3 linked regions of the Bombyx mori genome follow. The protein of the gene in region 2 interacts with the protein of the main gene of each other region in a pairwise test. Links are inferred from orthologs where the notes say so. Each region holds a gene or a part of one and is shown on either strand. Other genes may lie near its edges. The genes, in order: ras small monomeric GTPase Rab6, protein bicaudal D and Chc.

Region 1 (8,536 bases), on a different chromosome or scaffold from region 2:
ACTGAGTTTTATTACAAACATCATTACCTCAGTTCTATTACTTAAACTTCCTCAAACTCGTGTTTAACGTCCGAATACTCAACCGCGACTTAAATAATATATTATGTTGAACTTAATTACGCAATTCCTACTTTAATGCACTGGCTAAGTGGGCCGTGCAAATTAATATTTGACACACTGAGTGAGACACTGCAACACACATGGTCTGCGCGTATCGGGTGCTCTTTTCCTACATTCACATCTTCAATTGATTTAAAATTGTTTGTATTTTTACTTCTGTGCTATTTTCATGACACGTGTATATTAAGTCTACTAGTTACATTTTAGGAAATAAAACACAATGGGTAATAAAATGAAATGAACTGAAATTCATTTATTTGTTATATGTAGACAATTAAATAACTCTTAAATGACAAGTCAATACACATAACACGATACACATAGTACTTGATCTCTATTTACAAAATATTGGTTATACATATTATTATTATTAAGTTCAGTTAATTTTCTGTAGTCTTATAATATAACATTTCCTCTATTTTAAATAAATTCTTTTTTTTCAACGAAATACATAATTTATTTTAATCAATATCTAAGTGGACCATGAGTATCATTAAAATTTCGCAATTTAAATTTCAATTCAATTAAAAATCGCCATTTTTCTCTAATAAATCTAAAATCGACTTTATATTTACAATCACTATTTCGCGACTTTTAAGTTTTTGTTTCAATACCTTAACATCTTGTCGTAATTTTGCTTTTCTCGGGGTATTTTTTATTTCTTGCGTTTGAGTACTTGATACTTCTTGTTTGACCTTTATATAGGACATTTTCCAGAAATTCCAACGTCATATTTACTAGAAGATCCTACTCGTTCGCTTAACGTCAGGCAAATGATATACATGCTTCCGTGCGACGCTATTCAATACAATAAAAAAAGTTCAAAAAATACCACGTGATGGCTCTTATAATATGAAAAATACATTGCAAAATTATAGTTTTCACGATTGTTTTTTCAAATTTAGTATATGACATAGATTAAGTACAATTTACAAGACAAATGGTATTAAATATTATAATGAGAAAAAATATCTCACATTTTAAAAATATATGCTCACACTAGTAAAAATTTATCAATGAATCTGACATATGGAAGGATATTCCACAAACTGGAGACGATTCTCGCTTAAAACCACTTACATTAAAAGTGTTCACCATGATTACACGGAAACTTTCACGATTTTCGAAAAAAAAACAAGCCACAAGCTGTATCAGTGCCATTTTAACTTCGCACTACAAACGTAAATAGACGCCATTTTTCTTTTAATCCATTCATAGCTCTTTTTCGGTGATGCCAACAATTAATCTGGCTTCCCACCAAATTCAACATGAAAACCATCAGAAATCTACGTACCTACCATTAAATTTTCCATTAAACAGAGTTCTTATTAACATAGAACAATAATTTTTTGTTAATAAGCTTTATTAATATATGATGTTCTATTAAAAATCAATATATATCATATAATCAATACTTCTTATATAATTTATTTTAATAAATTGTCATCATCAGAAACTAATTTCACCATAACTTTGTACGTTTATTTTGAACCAATTTAATTTTTGACGTTGATGGAAATTCTAAATTCTCGCAACATTTTCTAGTTAAGTTTAAGTCACATCGTTTAAATAATATGTATTTAGATATATTATTGTCATAAAATGTTTAAAATCCTGTAAAGTGGATTGATTTTAAACTTTTCGATAATTTTCAACAACACCCAAGCTACTAAAAAATCCACTAACCACTAAAAGCCATTTTTGATAACTAAGACGGGGGTCCAAATTCCGAGATTTTATGGAAAATCCTCTAAGCTAGCAACACTGCTTTTTGTTTGTAAAATGTGTGAGAGGGACACCACCACTTAATAATCATTCTCTTTTCAGACCGTTTTTCCTTACATCTTTTGCTATTTAAAAATAAACTTTAAGCCATAGAGATAAAGTATATTTTTAGTTTTTATGTCAAACGAAGTAAGCACTCCAGTTAGAATAGTAACTCTATGGTGGCGCGACCATGGAGTTAATAAGTACCGGCGCGACCTTTTCTATTTAAGGGATTTTATGACCTGGTAACTAAGACCTTTAGGTCAAATCTTATTTTAAATAATGAAATGAAATGAAGTTGATTAATATGAAACATGGCATGAAATGAAATGAGATTGTATGGGATGAAATATAATCTCAGTAAGGTGGTGGTCATTTACTGAGACTTTTTCAGTGGACTTTTTGGAGGATCCCGAGAAGTTACGTTCAGCGGCTTTGTTTCATTTTCCCACATTTGTGCACTTTCACAGATATGAAACAGTAAATAAACCACCGTTAATACACATTTAAACCTGAAGAAGGAAACACTAAATAGACAAAATAAAACAAATCACACAACTTCACTCTTCGCGTTCCCGCCAAAAATATAACGAGTTTTATTATGTGTGTCACTGTGTGTTCTGACCACTTAGGTACCTACTTTCAATTCTAGTCGAGTCACAGCAATAAACACATCTAACGAAAATATCACATTGCCCTGCATTGTCCATTTAAGCATCGATTTCTATTGGTTGATTTCGAGTGCACATCCCTTAATTATGCTTAAACTAAACTATGACAACTAAAATAAGCTTATTTTGTAAAAAAATAGAGAACGTTAATGTAACTTATCAAAATTTTTATTGAGATGGCGTCAGGTTGACAAAGCCAGTTACATTTTACATAATTTAACACCCGGTGAGCCATGAAATTATTCATAACATATCCATAGCATAATAATTAGCCAATCATGCCTAACAAAAAAGAATGTGTTTATAAAATACAAGATGTGGTGTCGTGGGACACCAGGTAGGAACGAAGTTCCTTCGGCTAATGTAGAATCGACACAATTTGCAAAAAAAAAATCGTGCTCAATTTTATGTAGGTTTTCTTGATTTTTCTCTTAAATTTTGCTGATTAGTTTTTATTTAAATACAGGAGAGTATTTAGGAAATTCAATATTTTAGGAAATCATAAATTACGTAAAATAAATAAATAAAACTTAATTCAAATTATCAATTAAAATAACAAAATATATCTTTATTTTTGTTTGACAACATAAAATTACATAGAAATAGAAATAATTACAAAATAGAGAGAGAAGGGATGAGAGAACGAAAAGAAAGAAGGAGAAAGAGAAAGGAATTCTAAACTATTTGCTTGTGTATACGACTGTCGCGCCTGCGCACGTCTCATTTAACGGTTTTATTCCACGGACTTTTTCTTACGGTTTTACTATCACATTTTTTCAGTTCGGTCGCGCAGCAAAATCCCTATCTCCTCCAAGCCTGCCGTAAGGAACTTCGTTCCAATAAAATATCATTCCCAAAAATGGATGGATGTCTTTGTTGCAATCAGAATAATAATTGTATCGTTCGGAAACGTATATACTTTCAAGAAAATCAAATACATAGTTTAGAAAGAAACTTAAATTAGGAATGTATTTTCATTGTTTTAGATCCCAATCTAAAATACGAATTGAAATGTTTTTTTTTGTTCGCAGTATGCTATGTTGAGTCATTAGTAGATTTGCTGAGTTGGCTAGTTCGTCGCGCCGTCAGTCTGCCGTAACGTGGCGGCGCTGCGCTCGCCTGTCGCAGGAGTGGTTCGAACTGTCATTGTGGAACGTTCATTTTCATGTAGTTTTCTGTGATAAGATTACTGTAAAATTATAGTTTAGCGTAATAATTAAAACAATAACGATGTCTACATCGGGTGAATTTGGTAATCCTTTACGCAAATTCAAGCTTGTCTTTCTCGGCGAACAGAGTGGTAAGTATACGGCAAAAATGTAGTTTTGCTCTTGTACATTTTTAATATACAGTTTTGAATTTACGATATGTAAGGATAGATTCGTCTAGACTTTATTGAATTACTGACCTAGATAGTCCGGGCTGGGTTTTAAAGGCAGTTTTTTTCTCATTGCTCTTCGATTATAGTTTTTTAATGTAATTTCGTTTCTAGAGCGCTGAATTACGTGACTGATGTAGGTTACGTTCTCTCATCGTATTGTGAGCGTACAATGTTCTCACGGTTGTGCCGCTATCGAAAATAAATTTTCTTATTAATTCGCGTGTAGTGCGATAATGGGATTGAATGGTATGACATTGTTTTTCTTTCAGTTGGGAAGACGTCTCTCATCACTAGATTCATGTACGACAGCTTCGACAATACTTATCAGGTGAGTCAGAGACCTATGCAGTCGTAAAAGTATAAACTATCAAGCCATGGTTTCAAAAATTAAGTTCGATACATTTGATAATTTTCATCATTAAACTTGATCAACATAGAAATACAGCTATGGATACGTTTGACAAAGTAAATTCTTATTATTTATCCTTAATTGAATACTTATAATCATAAGCTTTAAGACTTGATCACTTAAAATAAAAAATGCATTTTTTGTTGAACATTTATTATTGTTAATAACTTTTGTTCTGTAATAAAAATACAAAAATTAGCATTCACATTTGAAATGTTTTTCCACAACACATTGATTGCTAATTATAAAATATCTTAACCTATTTTATTTTTATTATTAAATTTTAGCTTCTGCTGTAGAATTAATGTTTCTTTACTCATCCCATCAAAACTTAGATACTCTTGTGGACACCAAACTTTTGTTAAGCACCTAGCATTATTTGAGATTATTGAGAGAGCTTTTTAGCCCCTCCTACATAATGTTATTCTAGTCCATTTTACCCATAAATCTTTGGATGTCACAGGTTTTGAATAAAGTTCAAAGGTTGCAAAAAAATAATAGAGTGAACTATAATTAAAATTTTGTTCACATTTAAATTGGGTCTAGAAATTAATACAGATTGAGGAATTTGATTTGCTGTGATCCATATTAGAAAATCCCTTACAGTAGTTTTTTAAATTAACAATTTATCCTTTACAAATGTATTTATTACTTTGTACAATGTAATTAAAAAGATGTAACTAAGATGATATGTCTGTCTGTCTGAAGTCTCAAGGGAATGTGTGTGATCTCCCTTCTTGTTACATTACACTCTCACAATATATTTATATGCGAAATATCATTATAATGTATATTTCATTCAACTAGTATTCACTTAAAGGCTGAAATTCATCTATAAAATCAATGACATTTTAAAATTTAGATTCATTATATTAAGGGGTGAAGGGTTATTTGTTTAAGAGACATTTATCTAGGTATTAGGTATTTATTTGGTACTAGCTGTACCCGTCCGCTTCGCTGGGCATTTAAAATTAACATTATTATTTCTCACCCCCACAAAGATTCTCATCATTAACACCCCTGCAACTGGTGTAGGGAGTCCAACACTCATATAAATATAAGCCTATCCATTAAGTACATGTATTTTCTACACGGATACCAAGTTTCAAGTCCATCGGATGGATGGTTCAGTAGTTATAATGGAACATCAGTAAAAACCACAGTAAATTTATATATTAGTATAGATTAGCATCAACAATTCGATGTTTTTAATTAAACTCCAATTATGTTATTCCAATTTAAGTTGCGGTAGCATATTTTTTCCAAATTTTTATCTTTAAATGGCCCTCTCGTGAAGTTACAAAACTGTCTAAATGTTTAAACCAAATGGATTACGCGACATTTTTGTGTGTTAGCCATCGACATTTGGTTTGTAAAAGTGCCAACAAGAATTTTCCATTTTTACCATGGTGACATGAAAGTCAGCTGAAAAACAAGACAACAAGAACTTCTTGTCTTTGCCTATTTATAAATATTATTTTCCATTTACCTACTCTATGCTAGAAGTTTATTGTTGTTTTGGCTTAGCAATGGACACGACACCCTGTATTATTCAACATCGAATCCACACAAGGCATCCATAACTCTTCTAAGATCTCAGATAATACGAGTGCAGCATCCAGGAGCTACTGCTGCTATTTCTCTATCATCACCTCGATGTAACAATAGCCCCATCTATTTTCCTATCTAATTTGATAATTCCTAATCTCCTAGAGTGGTTACTACTTACTAAGATGTTGCTTTTTAATTCTGCACTATAAAGAAGATTTTTGGTATAATACGATTAAGCTTGTAAGTTATGTTTGTTTTGAAGTCGTCGTGGCCTAAGAGATAAGACGAATCCCGCAGGCGGGTACCAATTTTTCTAATGAAATACGTACTCAACAAATGTTCACGATTGACTTCCACAGTGAAGGAATAACATTGTGTAATTTAAGTGAAACCCGCAAAATTATAATTTGCGTAATTACTGGTGGTAGGACCTCTTGTGAGTCCGCGCGGGTAGGTACCACGACTCCGCCTATTTCTGCCGTGAAGCCGTAATGCGTATCTGTTTGAAGGGTGGGGCAGCCGTTGTAACTATACTGAGATCTTAGAACTTATATCTCAAGGTGGGTGGCGCATTTACGTTATTGATGTCTATGGGCTCCAGTAAACACTTAACACCAGGTGGGCTGTGAGCTCGACCACCCATGTGCGATGATGTATTGTTCAAAAAATGTTTTCATTGTGTTTTTTTTTTTTTTTTTTTTTTTTTTTTTTTTTTTTTTTTTTTTTTTTTTTTTTTTTTTTTTTTTTTTTATTGCCCTTGTAGGCAGACGAGCATACGGCCCACCTGATGGTGAGTGGTTACCGTCGCCCATGGACTTCAGCAATGCCAGGGGCAGAGCCAAGCCGCTGCCTACCCACTACACGTTATTGACTCCCACGGCGAAGCCCCTCCCGAATTCATTGGTGTGCGAAAAAAGCATTTTAAAGTTAAATCACCGATATAAGATTCAGACCAATCTATAGCATCACATCAAAACACAATGATTACATCATCACCGTTAGTCATGCAAGCTCATGAATATTTAACATGATTATATTATTACAGAGCTTTTGTAACAGGTTTTTGCCACTAGAATGTAGACAATTTCACTTTTTACGATTTAGAAAGCAAATAGAAATGACCTTTCAAATTGAGCCCCAAGGGTTGTCTTCTAAGGTTATAATATATTCAGTCAGGGGTCTATAGAACGCCTCGTTGTACAGGGAAGGGTTGATGTACAAGACCGCACAGGAGGTCACCAATGCGGTGGACCGACCAAATTAAAACTGCAGTGGGAGGTCCCCTAAAAGAGTGCAGCAGAATGGGCTCGAATAGGGAGAGATGGCGGGACATCGTGAGACGCATCAAGTCTGCCTCTTCCAACACTACATCACGATCAGGACCACTCTGTCAAGAGTGATACGATTGAGAAGAATATTCAGTTAGGATATCATGGAAATATTGAATTGTTCATTCAGTGTATTACTTTAAAGCATTTGGAGATGGGAATCACCGTACTTTAAGTAATAAGATACGCGTAGAAACAATTCATATACATAACTGATAATTCGTCGACCTAAAATTAAACTTGCATCCCACTATAATGTTACTTCTGAGATCATTTACATCTGTGGTCCGTTGTCTTCGTGTCTTTCATGCGAAGTTTCAAGTTCAAGACAGATTGTGCCATTGCGTTCTTAGGCTTTCCGAAAGTTTGTCACAATATTATATAATATGCATAAACTAGCGACCCGCCCTCGCTTCGCTTAGGAAACTGTAATTTATTATTGATTTTTCCACTATTTAATGGATGTTATTATACATATAAACCTCTCACTTCAATCACTTTATCTTTTAAAAAAAAACCGCATCAAAATCCGTTGCGTAGTATTAGAGATATAAGCATACATAGGGATATAGGGACAGAGAAAGGGACTTTGTTTTATATTATGTAGTGATAGTGATGGTATGGCTAAATATAAATATATATATAAATTAAATGGCCCCGAATTCTGTAACCATCTGAGCAACTTGAAAGTTGATACTGAGTTGGATATTGACAATATATGGGATCACCTTAGCAAATCCATTGTAAAAGCTGGTAATATTACTCTTGGTCGTACAAAAGGTGGTACAAAAGGTGGTAGCAATAAAGAGACTTGGTGGTGGACAGAAGCAGTGCAAAATGCCATTCAAAGGAAAAAAGATGCCTTTAAGACCTGGCAGTCCACCCAAACTTCTGAAGACCAAGAAAGATATAAAAGAATAAAGAAGGAGACTAAGAAAATAGTGGCAGTGGAGCGCGCAGTTGCCCTAAAGACCATGTACGAGCAACTGGAAACAAAAGAAGGTCAAAAATGTATATTTAAGCTCGCTAAACAGCGTTGTTGGAGCACGAGGGATCCCACTAGATGTCGGGCTGTTAAAGATCCAAATGGTGAGCTTCTGTATAAGGATAATGATGTACTATCAGCTTGGCATCAATATTATGAACAGCTACTGAACCCTACTCAAGCTGCTATACAGTTAACAAAAGTGGGCAGGAACATTGGGCTTATACCTCCAATACGTCCAAATGAGGTCAAAATGGCGTTAGAAAAGATGGCCAACAAGAAAGCCACGGGACCGGACGGTATTCCAGTGGAAGCTTGGAAGTG
Region 2 (8,008 bases):
CGATAATAATATACTATATAAAAAAATCTTCGAATAACAAAATCAATAATTCTTCACTAAGTTCTCTTTCTAATCAATATAAAATAATAATATGCCTACACAAATATAAGTGTACTAAAAAATTGTTACACAAAGGAAATAATAATATTTGGTTAATCGCTCTAACCCCATACAGCAGACAACAGCGATAGTAAACCATAAACAAACAAAAAAATACTGAATCTGTACTATACATAATAATACTATATACTAAAAAACATTTTTTTCTTTCATTGCACGAAACATAGTAAAAAGTTTATCTAATTCTTAATAATGAAAAATATACAACATCTATTTATAATATTTAAGTCAAATAAATAACTATTTTTAATAATAAATATTACCAGAAAACCGTGTAAAAGAACATGTCAGTCTAAATGTAACAATGTCAATGAGAAAGAGACGGATGCGGAAACACATGCAGTAATACTTTTAGTAACAAAACTAACAACCAATACAATAAACATATCAGAGCCGCGCTGCTCGGGTCGGGGGCCGCCCCCCACGCGGGGGGACCGACGGCTAACGATAATACTTAGTAGAGGGGACAGAATACTTGATACGCTAAAGCTATGTATAGAACGGGTAAGTTCGTCTTTTTAAGTACACGAAGAACGACCTAATATAATAATAATTAGTCTAATTTAACAAACACTATGTTAAACAATAAATGCAAGTCGCGGGCTAGCTGCCTGTCGCGAGCTACTAGCTACTCTACTGGCCGGGGCGGCGGCCGGGGGCGGAGGCCGGGGCGCCCCGGCGCGACTCAACCGAAACCATTAACATTCAATAACTTTTTAAATTTCGACTTATCAATAGATGCGCCGGTCGACTCCGTGAGCAATGCGTTGAGCGCTGTGCGAGCGAGAGGTCGACACTGCCGACAGAGGGGGTGCGACAGAGACGGAGAGTCGGCCGGCGCGTGGACAGCATGGACGCGACTGGGACGGCACAGTGATCCACCAACAAACTCAAACATCACGACTACAACAACATGGACGAGACAGAGACGACGCGACCGACGCGTCGCCCGGTAAACAGATTACATAGTCTTTTTGCGCACGCAATGGATGGATGTCGACGATAATGATTCTTTTTCTTTAGAAATTTCACATTTGGACGTAACGGGGGGCCGCGTCCGTCCGGCGCGCGGGGAGACCGCGGACCACAACGGCGCCAATAAATATTCGCTTAACAAAATACACCGGTCCTGTTACAAAAATAATCGATTCGCGTCGACGCGCGATATCGAGTGAAGAAATCGATACGAAAATATGTCCCGAGGAAAGGGAAGGGGTAGGCCGGGCGCGGCCCCGGGCTGGGGACCGCCGCGCCCGCGTCCGGCAGCCCGCCGCAATTTGACCGTTCCAGCGGCGCCGGACGAGGCCCGGACCGGCGCCGCGACGGGGGCCGGACGTGCGGCGCGATTCACATTACATTAAAAAGTTTACAAAACGTACAAATAGGGGACCGGGCCGGTGAGGCTGGAGCCCTAGGTCCGCAGCAGACGGCGCAGCAGGACGGCGACGGCCTTGACCGGCGCCAGCAGTCGCTAGAAGTCCCTCCCCCTGCCGCCCCGCACCCCGCCCGCCTTGGGCACGCGCCGGGAGCGCATCTCGCGGTCCACCTGCGACACACGTCACTGTCAGATGACGTCACAGCGGACCGGTGACGCAGCAATCCACAAATATGTCTAGTTCCTCTTACGTGACGCGGCATTCGCGAACATATCGAGTCTGATCACATGTTTTTTTTATTGCTTAGATGGGTAGACGAGCTCACAGCCCACCTGGTGTTAAGTGGTTAAGTTAAGGCTGCCCCACGCTTCAAACCGAAATGCATTACTGCTTCACGGCAGAAATAGGCAGGGCGGTGGTACCTACCCGCGCGGACTCACAAAATGTCCTACCACCAGTCCTAAATCAGGTTACCTACATCTGAGGTTAGACGGTTGTGTCCGACGCGGCGTGTGTTGCTCGTATGATGGACATGATCTCAAACACCCTTGAACATCCGACCCTTTGGCTCGATGTCGACGGATTATTATATTTAGTTAGTTAACCCTTTCAAATATTTTTGTAGGGAATTTCTACTTGAGCAACAAAGTGCGGAGGCAGGGATTTTGTAGATTATGCCACATGTTTAAATTTAGGTATTATTAGATTATTTTTTATAGATTAGTCTATATTATTTTAGTTTTATTAGTTTAGTTTATTATTTTATAGATTAAAATTACAGGCAGCGGCAGAATAGCAGCGATAGTTTCAGCTACCACAAAGCTGGGCCGCGGCCTTTTTATCTCCACTGTCAGTATAATTAATTGTAATATTGTTTAGATATAATTAGAAATTTAGGTCATATATTTTTTTTTGTTGCCTTTGTAGGCAGACAAGCGTACGCCCCACCTGATGGTAAGTGGTTACCGTCGCCCATGGACTTCAGCAAAGCCAGGAGCAGAGCCAAGCCGCTGCCTACTGCTTAATACTCTCCACAAGCCTCGTTTGAAGAAGGACATGTCAATTGGAAAGTTATTTGTATTGTGGAGTAAATTAATATTATTATTATATTTAGTTAGTAGGACCATTACCTCCAGCTCCTCGAGCCGTTGCGTGAGCGCCAGCTTCTGCTGCACGGCGAGGCGCAGCAGCTGGTTGAGGGTCTTCTTCTCATCCTCGGCCCCGGAGAGCGCCTGCGTCAGCTCGTCCACCTGCGTCACGTACTCCTCGCAGCGCGCCGCGAACATGGCACGCAAGCCTGGAACGGACGCTCACACATCTAGCTATTTTATTTCACACTAGCCGACCCGGCAGACTTCGTAGTGCCTCAATCGATAAATAAAAGACCTAAGCTTTTGTATAACATAAACTTAAAACAAAAGGAATCCGTCCGACGGAGGACACATCAGAGGAAAAACAAAATTGTTATTTTTATTTAATTCAGAGCATTTTCATTTTTATCTACCTTCCTACCTTCTCTGGACTTCCACAAATAATTGAAAACCAAAATTAGCCAAATCGGTCCAGCCGTTCTCGTGTTTTAGCGAGACTAACGAACAGCAATTCGTTTTTATATATAGATAGAAGAAGATGAGTGAACGAGCTCATAGCCCAACTAATGTTGACTTTGAGACACCACCTTGAAACATTTTCAACGGTAGGCAGTGGCTTGGCTCTGCCCCTGGCATTGCTGAAGTCCACGGGCGACAGTAACCACTCACCATCAGGTGGGCCGTATGCTCGTCTGCCTTCTTCTTCTTAGTTTGGTTTCCTCAATACTGAGGGTCGTGACCACCCCCTCGCAACAAGAGTTTATTCCGGATCATTCCACGCCATTTCCCTCTATCTGCCGCCGAGTGTAGAGCATCGTGAACTGTGGTATCGAGGGTAGTGCGGATCTGGTCAGTCCAACGTGTCGGGCCTCTAAGTATTTAGTGATCGCCTACAACGGCAAAAAAAAAAAAGCCAGTACTGACTCGAGAACGTAGCGGCGTCCTCCTTGAGCAGGCGCAGCTCGTTCCTGAGCTTGAGCATGGTCTCCGTGACGATCGTCTTCTCCGTCTCGTACTTGGACTTGAGGTTCGCGAGCGCCACCTCGGCCGTGTTCTTGTTGGACTTGAGCACGGTGCGCAGCGTCGCGATCTGCTCGCGCTTGGTCGACAGAAGGGACTTCAGCTTGATGACCTGCTCCTGGAGCTCGGCCAGCTCGGCGCCGCGCTCCTCCGTGGTCTCCATCACTGCGAGCACATTAAACTCTCGATGAGGTCGAGAAAACGACTACTAAGTGCTGGTATATTAGAATTCTGCAAAACAATGTCAAATTGAATTACACTATTATTATTTTTTGGCTTAAATGGGTGGACCAGCTCACAGCCCACCTGGTGTTAAGTGGTTACTGGAGCCAATAGACATCTACAACGTAAATGCGCCACCCACCTTGAGATATAAGTTCTAAGGTCTCAATATAGTTACAACGGCTGCCCCACCCTTCAAACCGAAACGCATTGTTGCTTCACGGCAGAAATAGGCGGGGCGGTGGTACCTACCCGCGCAGACTCACAAGAGGTCCTACCACCAGTAAATCACCAGTTCAATAAGGGGAACTGGCTGGCGACTCGGCCCGGACTGCTGTGGACTACACCTGGCGTGTGCATTGCGACGCGAGGCACTGCACACTTTGCGACGACAGAGATAAAGAATGGGCAGTAGGTGCTCATTTTTCAGATCAAAATCTACAAGGTTCTACGACTGAATGAACGAATGAAGAATGAACATGAGTGAATGAAGGGCAGTGTGAAGAACAAGTTAAGGGGTTGCGGGACATGACTGCCGGGGCCCGCACGCAGTTAACGACACACAGACACGTATTATCTTTGGTTACTAGTGAGGGCGTGGAGATATAATCTTCAAAACCCAACAATGACGAGTGGGTGAAATGAACCTTATTAAAATTCTTCAAATAATAATAAATACCTAGGAACAAAACACCCACATTGGTACCCGCCTGCGGGATTCGAACACCGTTACATCGCTTCAACACGAATGCACCGGACGTCTTATCCTTTAGGCCACGACGACTTCTAAATTAGTCGACGACGTTAGATAATAAGCACCCAGATAATGAGCAAACAAATTTGCTCTTCACACGAACGTTTTCCCGGTGCGGGAATCGAACCCACGTCCTTCGACGCGACAGTCAAGGCCGTTAACTATTGCACCAACGAGTCAGTCTTATTTTCTTTATCGATAATTCTACTACACAATCACTACAGCTGTAAACTGTCCACTAACTAACTAGAACATTGCTTAGATGCAACCCAATTTATCTTAAATAATAGTTTAAGAAAACTAACAAAGCACGCTTTTATAGAAAATCCAACTAAAAAATAGAAAATAAATTTTAATAAATTTGAATTAAAAATAGTGTAAGAAAAATTATTTTATTGTAAAAAAGCGTGAGGTGCTTTTCAGGATATTATCAAAATAACCCTTCTGCTCATGTCTGTTTATAAAATATTTATAACTACTTATACCATGCACCCCACGCTTTTTTACAATAAAATCATTTTTCTTATATTATTTTTAATTCAAATTTATTAAAATTTATTTTCTGTTTTTTTAGTTGGATTTTCTATAAAAGCGTGCTTTGTTAGTATTTTAAAACTATTATATATTTTTCATTCATTAGTTGAATATCAATTTTTTTAATTTTTTTCTAATATTGTATTGTCATCGGTCCTTAATAAGTATACCAAATTTCGAGTTAATCCGACGTTTTGAAGGGGGTCAAAATCATGTTCATAGATTCCGTTACAAACATACATACGTCTGAAGCTAATAAAAGCGTATTAAAAATCTAAATACACTATATAGTTATAGTTCGTTAACTACAGCGTGATACGTTTGACAGATGGTTTGTTATATCAAACCTATTTCCTAATGACGTCCCGCCGACAACTGTCCCGGGCGCCACGCCGCATCTGACGGACTATACTTCGCGGGACGAGCTCGGGATCACAGAATGTATTGCAGCACGTAAACGCACGTCAGTACAGTCGATTTCACAAATGCTTTCAAGTTGTACGATTTAGGATCGCTTTTCTTAATATCGATCTCATCGTCTAAAGATGCTCTCTTGTACAATTTATCTTTCCATATCGAGTACAAACTGAGATTTTTATTTCGATATTGAGATAAATTTGGATTCGAGATTTGCGACTTCGCTATGGGAAACTGTTTTCTTTTGCCATTAAATTTAGTATCGTATTTTTTGGCATTATATTGTGCGAAGCAATTATTCGAATGCTTCAAACTAGAATCGATTTTGTAGTTCGCACGTTTCAACGCTGTATCGATATAATTTCTGTTCGATTGGAGACCGGTGATATTTTCAAAATAATCGGTAAGCTCTTTAACGTTCCTTCCGTTACAGATTAATTGAGTTACGTTTGTATTACTTTTTTTTCTTTCGTCAGCCATTTTTATTTTTATGTTGGCAATATCTTTTGCTTTTTTTGAACGATTTTCACAAATCGAAGCTACGGGACCTGTCGATATTTTTTTTATTGCTTAGATGGGTGGACGAGCTCACAGCCTACCTGGCGTTAAGTAGTTACTGGAGCCCATAGACATCTACAACGTAAATGCGCCACCCACCTTGAGGTATAAGTTCTAAGGTCTCAGTATAGTTACAACAGCTGTCCACCCTTCAAACCAAAACGCATTACTGTTTCACGGCAGGAATAGGCAGGGTGGTTGTACCTACCCGTGCGGACTCACAAGAGGTCCTACCACCGGTAAGATTATTAACCCATACACTGCCATGTAGGTCACCGGTGTCCTACGCGGCGTACTCAAGTGATTATGTCGATTTCTGTTACTTAGCGCCTAGATTGCTTAACTTTGCCTTCTTTTGTTTGATAATGTATGTTTTAGTCTTTTAGGTATCTTAGAAATAGATTCATTGTCAGTATCTTCGGATTCGTCTTTCCTAGTCTACTGAATATACGTAAGAAAAACAAAGAGAAATCGACATAGTTGCTTCAGTGTGCCACGTAGGGCATCGGTGACCTACACGGCAGTCAACGTGTTAAGAGCAAAGTTTTGTTTTATTGCCCTTGTAGGCAGACGTGCACACGGCCCACCTAATGGTGAGTGGTTACCGTCGCCCATGGACTTCAGCGATGCCAGGGGCAGAGCCAAGCCGCTGCCTACCGCTTAATACTCTCCACAAGCCTCATTTGAAGAAGGACATGTCATAACGCTCGGGAAACACCGTGGAGGGGAGTTCATTCCATAGCCGAATGGTACGTGGCAAAAAATACCTCTGGAAACGCACTGTGGATGACCGCAGTGGCTCCAGGTAGTATGGATGGACCCTACTCCGGTGGCGGGCGGTGCGATGGTAAAAACAAGAAGACGCATGTAAGGTGCGTGGTTGGACACCCCGGGGCGGGGGTGGGTACTGACTGCGCGGCTGGCGGCTCCTGGCGCCGAGCGCGGTGTCGAGTGCGGCGCGCAGGTGGTCGAGCTGGTCCAGCAGGGTGTCGGCGGCGCGGGCCACGGAGCCGGCCGCGCGCAGCCCCTCCAGCGGCCCCTCCGCCAGCGACAGCGCCTCCGCCTCCGCCTCCGTCACGCCGGACTTGGCCTCGCGACCTGCACACCAACCAACATGCCTATGTAAATATTGTTGCTCAAACAGTTAACTGTTATCGCATTAAAACTGTATAATCTCAAAATTTACTAATTGTACAAGAGAGTGTTTTAAAGGTTTAACATGTAACATTTTTAATATTAATCCCCTTTGCAACTTTTATTTTTAATTTTTTACCAGTTACATTATCTGTCTTTTACAGTAAGATAAAATTATGTATTAATTTTGTTAATACTAGTCAAAGCATAGGTAAACTAAAAAAAAAAACTAAAGTACGCTCTCTTGACAATATTTATGAGAAAAATACTGGGGATACCAAATCGATGCCTTCAATGAACACTACTCTAACTCCAAATTCGTAAGTTTACAAGAGGAGAGTTTAAACGAAAAAAGTTGATAAATATATCTGCAATAATAAAGATTTTATGGTTTTTTCTTGTGTAACTAGTTGATTTACTCTTGCTTCGAACCCCATTAATAATGAATTTCTAATACTTTTAAAATAGTGAAACGATCTGCGTGAAAAACGAGAATTTCCAAATTTTGAGTTAGAGTAGTGTTCATTGGAGGCATCGAAATGATTCCGCATATTAACATAATTTGGAATATTTTAGGAAATTGTGCACTTTAATGCGAAAAGACGATATATAATATTTTCACGTCAACTTGAGCAAACAAAGTCCATGACGTCATATGTGGTTATTCTTCGAATATATCATGCATAAATAATGCATGATATATTCGAATGCATAAATATGTGACTCGCACATCCCTCTTCCCCTAAAAGGGAAGATATATAAGACCTTAATAAGGCCTGCCG
Region 3 (8,478 bases), on a different chromosome or scaffold from region 2:
TACATGTGCTCAAACTACTTTTTGATGGGATCGCACAATAACAATTTGAATTTCCGTATTGAGCTTACACAAGAAAGCGAGCATCACCATTCCACATGTCGAGAAGCAGTGATGCATTCCGGTTAAAACGTATTTGTGGAATTTATGATTTGATGTTCATGGGCTCCGATAGCCGATGCACTGTTCCTCGCCGGATCTTCACAGTGGGCCGAGATTCTGGTCCGGTAATAGATTAAGTGAAGCAGATATCTCTGCTTGCACATGTCCCGGTATTAGCAAATTATTTCAGGCCGAGGCCTGTGATCTCGCACACTAGTCCAGGTGAAGTCAGAATAATAGCCTCTCGCGATTAATGACAAAAAAGCTTAGTAATAGTTGGATCGTGAGCTCCATTACCCTAAAGCCTAGAGTAATTTAACAAATTCAATAGTGTCGTCACTGGCATTCTTATAATATTAACGTTCAAGAGTAGTGTTCGAACATCGTTAATATCATGGGCGTAATTTGACTCTTTTCGTTACAAAATGTCGTCATTTTATTTATTACATACTAGCTGACCCGGCAGACTTCGTAGTGCCTCAATCTATAAATAAAAGACCTAAGCTTTAAACAAACAAAAGGAATCCGTCCGACTGGGGACACATCAAAGGGAAAACAAAATTATTATTTTTATTAAATTCCGAGCATTTTCATATTTATCTACCTTTTAAACCTTCTCTGGATTTCGACAAATAATTCAAGACCAAAATTAGCCAAATCGGTCCAGCCGTTCTCGAGTTTTAGCGAGACTAACGAACAGCAATTCATTTTTATATATATATATATATGTATTACATATTACAGGCGTCTCGCGTACAACACGGTACTTGTAAAACACGGTTTCGATATTAGACGGTACAAGAATTAAGAATAATAATTATAATACGGTTTTAAAATAACACGATTTCAAAATATCGAATTTGCATTGGAAATTTAAATGTATTTTTGAATTGCATTCAATAAGGGAAATCCCCGGGGCTTCGTATAACACGATCTCGAATACAAGGCCTCGATACTACACGGTATACCCTGTTTCGTATAACACGGTACGAATGACTCGTGTTAGAAATTAGAAGGACGATTTCTAATTATTTAATTGTCCTGATTCACTTATTAAAATGATAACCCAGAAAAATATTAAATTGAAACTCAATAAAAGAAAAGTGTTATGTAATGAATTTTTTGGTTATGTTTACATAAATATTTATTTAAATAAGTACACATCATATTTTTATATTAACTACAATATTGAATAGATCCCTTTTGCGTAATTATCACCTGTTTAACGCACAAAGAAAGCTTTCTTGGGACTATGTCTTTGTGTTGGGCGTTACAATCGCGTCTAAATTTAACCACACGATGATAAAACAACAAGAAACGCCCAGCAGGATATTTAGTATGTCATTTCTTTACACAAAAGCATTCTCAATGAAAATAGTTTTCTTTTTTAATTCTAATACATTGTGCTCACTTTTTAACCATCTGTATAATTTTATATAAATATACACGCTTTTTTTTCGTTTTTCGTCTTCTTGACTTATTCATACCGTTTTTAGACATGTAGGCAAATAGAATTTGGAAGCTTATAATAGATGAAGTCGAAATTTGAAGTATTATGTAATCTTTATTTCTGTGCAACCCACAACTTCCTTAAGTCTATAGAATAAAGATAAATGCGTGTTGCATTAGCTCCACACTAGCATATTTTCTTTGTTTTTTCTCTGGATAACACAAAATAAACTAAAAAGAAGAGGTAAAAATCCTGTTTCTCATAAGTTATTATAAGTTTTTTTTTTTTTTTGTTAAAATCATAATTTTGTTTTCTTAACTTGCTACATTTAAGGGCCCTGGCTAACAATTTTCGGCCATATATATTAATGATCAAAATTTACTTTTACATTTGAAACCAATTGCAGCAGAAACTATTACCATAAAACTGGCAAGAATCTGAATTTTGTAACAACAAAATCAAAACACTTCCAAGCAACATTCAGATTGTCTGCCTAGTGAGCAAACATGTTCCCTTTTTAGTTGCTAACGCAACTAACAAGTCAGTATTAATTTAAATAAAAAACATAAAAAATAAATTACTGCATTTGAATCTTTTTTGATGTCTCCACATACTGCACTAATTGAAATTTAAACTTAATCAACTTATAAGATAATTCTACCATATATTGACATAGATGAATTACTATCTTACCTTCAACACCAGCTTTGCCTTTCAAAGCAATGACTTTACTAGCTGGATTCATGATAGCAGAGTCTGCACTGATTGGTCGTCGAATTGGATTTGTTGGATCTGCCATATCAATAATGACAACTTCTGCAGTCTCACCAACCTTCTCGCGAACACAGATAAACTTGTCCGATTCCATGGTGAGAGTGTTGAAAGAAATAGAAGCAGGATTGATTCCCACATTGGTAAGCTGAAAAAAACATTTTTTAACAGAATCATGTTCCATGTTCCATCAACCTTCCATGTTCAGATGAGCAATTAATATGTTATATAATACAAATAAATCACATACAGAACTATCTTACATGTTTGGAACAGTTTTATAAAATTATGAATATATCATATTTGAACACAATTTTTTAAAAGAGCCTTAAATTTTAGTTGAGATTCTTTTTATAGTATGTTTTTTTTTATGATTGAAGGATTACTGGTGGCCCAGAGGCCTTTCCAGTTTCACCAGGACAGGTGGGCGAGCAAAGGCTCAGCCAGGAGGGGTGGGATTTGCTAACAGCTACCCGAGCGCCTCTGAAGGAGACCTAACAGCTCAAGAGCAGCTGCTTCGCAAATGAAACTACTACCGGATCGGAATCGCGACCCGCTGAGAAGATCCGACGAGAAACTCAGCGAGCTGATTCATGGGTTAGGTTGCACGGCGAACTCTTTGCCGAGTTCGACGAGTACGGTTACCGGGGTCCCTAAGCCTGCTCCTAGTGTTAGAGCTGAAGGCGTTTAATTCAAAGGTGTCTAGGGCTTTATAGTATGTGTAATTAGATACATACTACAAGATAACCAAATACTAAATTTAAAAACTCCACACAAAAAATCAAAAACCACTAAGTATACTAAAATACTTCATTTAATTATCACTTAAAACTCATTTTTCACAAATAATGTTATTCTTAAATTTTATGACATATAAGATGTTAAAATAATTAATTTCCCCTCCTAATAGTTTTCTTTAGCTTTCTTACAGATGAAGACATCAATTTTTATTCTAAGATATATTTTACCTACAACTACAAATGTTATTCAAGTGCCTACATTGCATAAGATATCTTATGGTATATAATTATTTGGTTATTTTTAATCATTAATTTATTTTAAATTTATATTAGGTTTAATTCACTAAAGAGAACTGATGCGATTTTCACTTGTTATAATCCTGAGTATTGATAAAATTGGAATGTAGTTAAATTATCACAAATTGTTTTTCAAGGAACAATATTTTGTTGAAGGTAGGTGAATTTTTATAAAGAAATAAAAATAGTGTTCGATTTTTTAGACCTTATCCTCTTTGAACAAAATCCACAGATGCCAATAATGTATACATTGACAATCACGAGATTTGAAATTAAAAAGAAAATTATATTTAAAACTTCGCGTTTAATAAAAAATAACCCCCATCTAGCGTTTCAACCCCCAATCATATGATCGCAAATTGAATTTGGAACAAATCAATACCTACTGGCTTCAACTCGACTTGCACGTAGGGGGTGGACACTGTCTAAGTAATGAAAAAAGCATTCATTACCTTACATTTTTTTGATCAATTCATTAAAAAGTTTCACTACCCATCCCTAATACACTTTCTTAGGGGGCCCTTAGTTCCTAAAAGGAAATGATCGGTAAATGCAATAAACTGATGGGCGTACTCACCTGTAAATGTTCTTGAAACCGTATCGGTAATACTTGCGCCATGTTTATTGATCACTCCGTCCTACACAAACCGAAAACGAAAAAACGGGCGACCCTTTTAAAATCGCGAACTCTGAAAAGATAGCACAAATCAATTTCACTGATGTCTCATCGGAAAACACTTTTGACAATCAACATGGCGTTCGTTAGAGAAAGAAATGACAACGACCGGATCGCGACAAAAACAATTTACTGATTATAAACGATAGATGACCTATCGTACTTACAACTTCTAGAATTCTACATGAAGAAGAATAGGGGCGGATAAATTTGGCTGTTTCGGAGTAATATGACGAATAATGTACACCCTCGGATGCCACATATACAAATGAATGAAATGGTAGACAAAAGAGAAAGAGAAAGCATGATATAAACTTCAATCACAATTTCTGCATTCATTATGATGCGATCGCATCTAATAGTAGTCTAGAGATGCAATCAAAATATTCCAAAAATAAAATTGAAAGACTTGATAGCATGGCTCATATAATACCCTTAGTACCCTTTTGGGCTTTTTTTTTTTTTTTTTTTATTTTGTCAGGAGGAAATCGCCGGACTCCCACCCTCCACTGGGGATGGAGGGTGGGGCATGTCGGAGTCGAACCGACTAAAACCTCCTGTCGCTCAACAACCAACGTCCAACCCTCGCATGAGACAGAACTCATGAAAAGGCAAGGGGAGGAGAGTGAAGCGTTTAGTGCGGAGCACATCTCTCCCATCACCCTCCCCCTCGGGACGCCGGGCCAGCGATCGTCGGCGCCACGACCACCAGCCCTCTCGGTCGGCAGGCTGTCCGAAGCCCGCCTAGATGGCGCCGGTTTGAATTGGTTATCCTACGAAATACCCCGCTGGGTCAGAACCAGCGTGGGTCAAGGATAGCCGGCCTTCCATCACCCGGATGCTCTTGCGTAAAACGCGTGCAGAGCAGCTTGCACGTCGTCTTCTTAGGCCCCCTTCGCCGGGCCCCAGACCGACATATGAGGGGGACCCGAAACACTTAGAGGGCCAGGGCTAGGGCGAGATCCGCCTCCCTGGCCCCCGCTCGACGGCGGCGGGCTTGTGCGTCTCTCACGCGCCCCGCCGCCTCCTTCTGCGAGATGGTGCACTCGCAGAAGTCGAGCATCGCCTTCCACGACTCGTCGTTGCCGAGCATCGATGCCACAACACTCGGCAACGACAAGTCGTTTCCTATTTTTGCGACAAGGACACGGCGCCACCCCTCCCATGCGGGGCAGGCAACGAGCGTGTGCTCCGCCGTGTCCAAGTCGCAACCACAATGGTAACACTCTGCCGTCGGCTCGGCTCCGATCCGGTGCAGGAACTCACCGAAGCAACCATGCCCAGTGAGCACCTGCGTGAGCCGGAAAGTGAGGCGTCCTCTGTCACGATTCACCCAATCCACAAGAATCGGGCGAATCGCCTCGACGGTCCTACGACCAGCCGAAGGATCGGCCAGCCGCCTGGACCATGACTCCAGCACGGACCGCCGAGATTGGGCCCTCCGCGCTCTGACCACACTGGGGCTGGGACGCGCCACGCCCCGGGCACGAAGGTTAGCCCGCCACTGATAGTCAGCGGCGAGCGCCTCCGCCTCCAGGACCCAAGGCGGCGTCCCAGCCAGTACACACGCCGCCTCAAAAGAGATGGTGCGATAACCACGGATGACCCTGACCGCGATGGTGCGTTGCGGCCGTTGCAGCAACTTCGCTACCCCCACGGCCAGGGACTGGCCCCACACGGGTGCTCCGTATAGGGCCATTGACCGCACCACCCCCGTATAGAGACGGCGCGTCACCTGGTCAGGCCCCCCGATGTTGGGAAGAAGTCGGCTTAACGCGCCGGCCACCCCCAACAAACGAGGGACCAGGTGCTGAAAGTGAGCACGGAAGGTCCAACGACTGTCCAGAATGAGGCCGAGGTACTTTAACTGCACCCCGACCCCGATCCGGACGCCTCCAACCACGATATGGGCATCGACAGGTGGCACTCTCCGGGGCCTGTGGAACCACATGGCCTCGGATTTACTGAGCGCCACGTCGAGGCCCAATCTCCTGATTTTGCCGACGACATGCGCTACCCCAGCGGTGGCAAGACGAGCAGACTCAGCAAAGCTCCCTCCCCGGGCCACGACCAGCGTGTCGTCTGCGTAACATATTACGCTTAGGCCCGGGAGGAGGGCACCCCTCAGCACCCAGTCATACCCGATATTCCACAAAAGAGGGCCGAGTACCGACCCCTGTGGAACACCGCGCACGACCGGGAACCGATGTACGACCCCACCGTGTCCGGTACACGTGACCGATCTGTCCTCCAAGTAGGAGCCGACCAGCCGGCGAAGGTAGAGGGGCACTCCGTGTCTTTCCAGCGCCCCCCCTATCACGGACCAGGGCAGGGTGTTAAACGCATTGGCGATGTCGAGCGACACCGCCAAGGCCACCCCACCCCCACAGACGGCCTCCTCCGAGAGGGCCCGCACGCGAAGGATCGCGTCCACCGTTGAGTGGCCCTCTCGGAAGCCATACTGCTCCGCCGACAGATCGGGTCCCACCCCGATCAGATGCTGGATGATGCGGGCTGCCAGAATGCGTTCCAGCAGTTTGTTTGGGCTTAGAGTTCTGTTTTAAATTTAAATCTATGATTAAATCTCGCTGAAATTTTCGCTTTCCAATCTCGCTTTCCATGCGAAAATCAAAGTTCATTAATTTGTTAAAATCCAAATCATATTCGTCCTCAAATAATTTATTGAGACGACATATAGGATTTAATTAAACACGATTATCTGTATGATATAATATCAATCACATGTTTTTTCAGGTCTATTTTCTTCTATTAACGTCCGCTATCATTCGTTTTATATTTTTCAACTCCATTCCTACTTATTCTAAATATTTAGGTTGAAGTCGTTCTACGTGAACTAATCTAGACGTGGACATTATATTCGCCACACTCCGTTGATCTCAACATAACGTTAAACTCTGACTCCGACTGTTCTTTCATAGTTCTTTTCTCTGAGTTTCATAGACTGTTAGGAAAAGGTAACATTTTAAGCATAAAATTAACTGTAGGACCTTTCAGCGGAAAGTGTTGCCGAATTAAATGAACTGTGTTATTTTGATAATTTAGATTATTCAGGTTTAAACGTGTAGATGACACAGTGATTTATTAACTGTTTAGCATCTGTGAAACTTCACAAATATGGAAAAATAAAACAATGCCGCTGGAAGTGGCTTCTCGGGTTCTTTTAAAAAGTCCACTGAAGTCTCAAATCATTTTTGAATGTGTGGTATGATACCTTTGCGTTTTACCGTTACAAAAATAGAAGACTACTGCTGTCAAAAATGTCAAAGTTAATGTTTTGTAAATGTTAAATGATTTGCTCGCTAAGTAAAGACAAGTGTGTTGAACTTTTGTACATTGTGCATGAATTGCATTAAATTAATTTTCTAATACTTACAAATAAGAGTTCAGATATCTGCTTAAACTAACGAAAATCGAAATGGTAATTTATTTTGTTAATAATCATGACAAGGCAACGAATTTAAGAGATTCCACGTATTAATGAAATCCCTAAACTAAACATATCTTTTCAGTTTCAATTCGGATTCAATATGTTTCACGAAATATCTAGGCCATTTAATATGACTTATAGATGCTATTCAGTCTCTATGTTACCTGGGAATGAGAGACAGGACGTTGAAAGAGGTGGTAAAAGTGAGTAGCTAACAAAAAACAAATGACATCTTTGTGTCCATTGTCTGATTCATTATTATTTTTTATTTGCAAAGACTTTTTGGAAAAACTTCTCTTAGAGAACCAGTCGAAAAGTTCTTAATGCTGCGTTTTTATCATCACAGATAATTAATAGATTTCATAAGCTTGGTGTATCGTCGTTATTGGAGCCCATTGACACACACCCTAATCACTCACTCACTTTGAGAAAGTCTTTGCATTACCTATCATATGCATTAAAATTTGATAGGTAAAGCATCATATGCTCTTCTCTTCATTGTTGTTTTCTTTTTTTTATTTGTTGCTTAAATGGCTAGACGAGCTCATAGCCCATCTGGTGTTAAGTGGTTACTGGAGCCCATAGACATCTACAACTTAAATGCGCCACCTACCTTGAGATCTAAGTTATAAGGTCTCAGTAGAGTTACAACGGCTGCCCCACCCCTCAAAACGAAATGCATTACTGCTTCACGATAGAAATAGGCGGCGGGGTGGTGGTACATACCCATATTTCTGTCCGCATGGGTTTCCGTACTCACAAGAGGTGCTACCACCAGTAAAAGTGATTATCAGTAGATTTTTATTGTTAGAGACTTATACTCTTTTATAATTGCTTAGACAGGTGAACAAGCTCATATGACTCATCTGGTGTTAAGTGGTTATAGGAGCCCATGAGCATCACAATGTGATACTGTCAACCTTGAGACTTAGGTCTATATTTGAATTGTATATGACTTGTGCAAATTAAATCTTTTGTAGGTTTTTTTTTTAAATTA

Evidence for each region.
Region 1: the proteins of protein bicaudal D (region 2) and ras small monomeric GTPase Rab6 interact in a two-hybrid assay, tested with the Drosophila melanogaster proteins (3 studies listed by BioGRID). The link is inferred for Bombyx mori from reciprocal best matches to the Drosophila melanogaster genes BicD and Rab6.
Region 3: the proteins of protein bicaudal D (region 2) and Chc interact in binary tests that used the Drosophila melanogaster proteins (3 or more experiments, as listed by UniProt). The link is inferred for Bombyx mori from reciprocal best matches to the Drosophila melanogaster genes BicD and Chc.

The regions. Positions count from the first base shown.
Region 1 is NC_085111.1:16,050,573-16,059,108, forward strand, and holds the start of ras small monomeric GTPase Rab6, read left to right. Parts: upstream 1-3,661; 5' UTR 3,662-3,788; coding exon 3,789-3,858; intron 3,859-4,208; coding exon 4,209-4,267; intron 4,268-8,536. UniProt on the Drosophila melanogaster protein: Protein transport. Regulator of membrane traffic from the Golgi apparatus towards the endoplasmic reticulum (ER). Mediates membrane trafficking during egg chamber growth and organization, possibly upstream of exocyst component Sec5.
Region 2 is NC_085125.1:2,134,528-2,142,535, reverse strand, and holds part of protein bicaudal D, read right to left. Parts: intron 7,191-8,008; coding exon 7,005-7,190; intron 6,083-7,004; exon of another isoform or gene 5,465-6,082; intron 3,773-5,464; coding exon 3,512-3,772; intron 2,794-3,511; coding exon 2,627-2,793; intron 1,667-2,626; coding exon 1,592-1,666; 3' UTR 1-1,591. UniProt on the Drosophila melanogaster protein: This protein is essential for differentiation. It may play a role in localizing of Nanos (a maternal determinant) activity in oocytes. Functions redundantly with BicDR.
Region 3 is NC_085122.1:8,778,840-8,787,317, forward strand, and holds the start of Chc (clathrin heavy chain), read right to left. Parts: upstream 4,362-8,478; 5' UTR 4,201-4,361; intron 4,047-4,200; 5' UTR 3,977-4,046; coding exon 3,935-3,976; intron 2,469-3,934; coding exon 2,243-2,468; intron 1-2,242. Other genes in the region: ubiquitin recognition factor in ER-associated degradation protein 1, read left to right, coding at 7,470-7,472, 7,564-7,684. UniProt on the Drosophila melanogaster protein: Clathrin is the major protein of the polyhedral coat of coated pits and vesicles.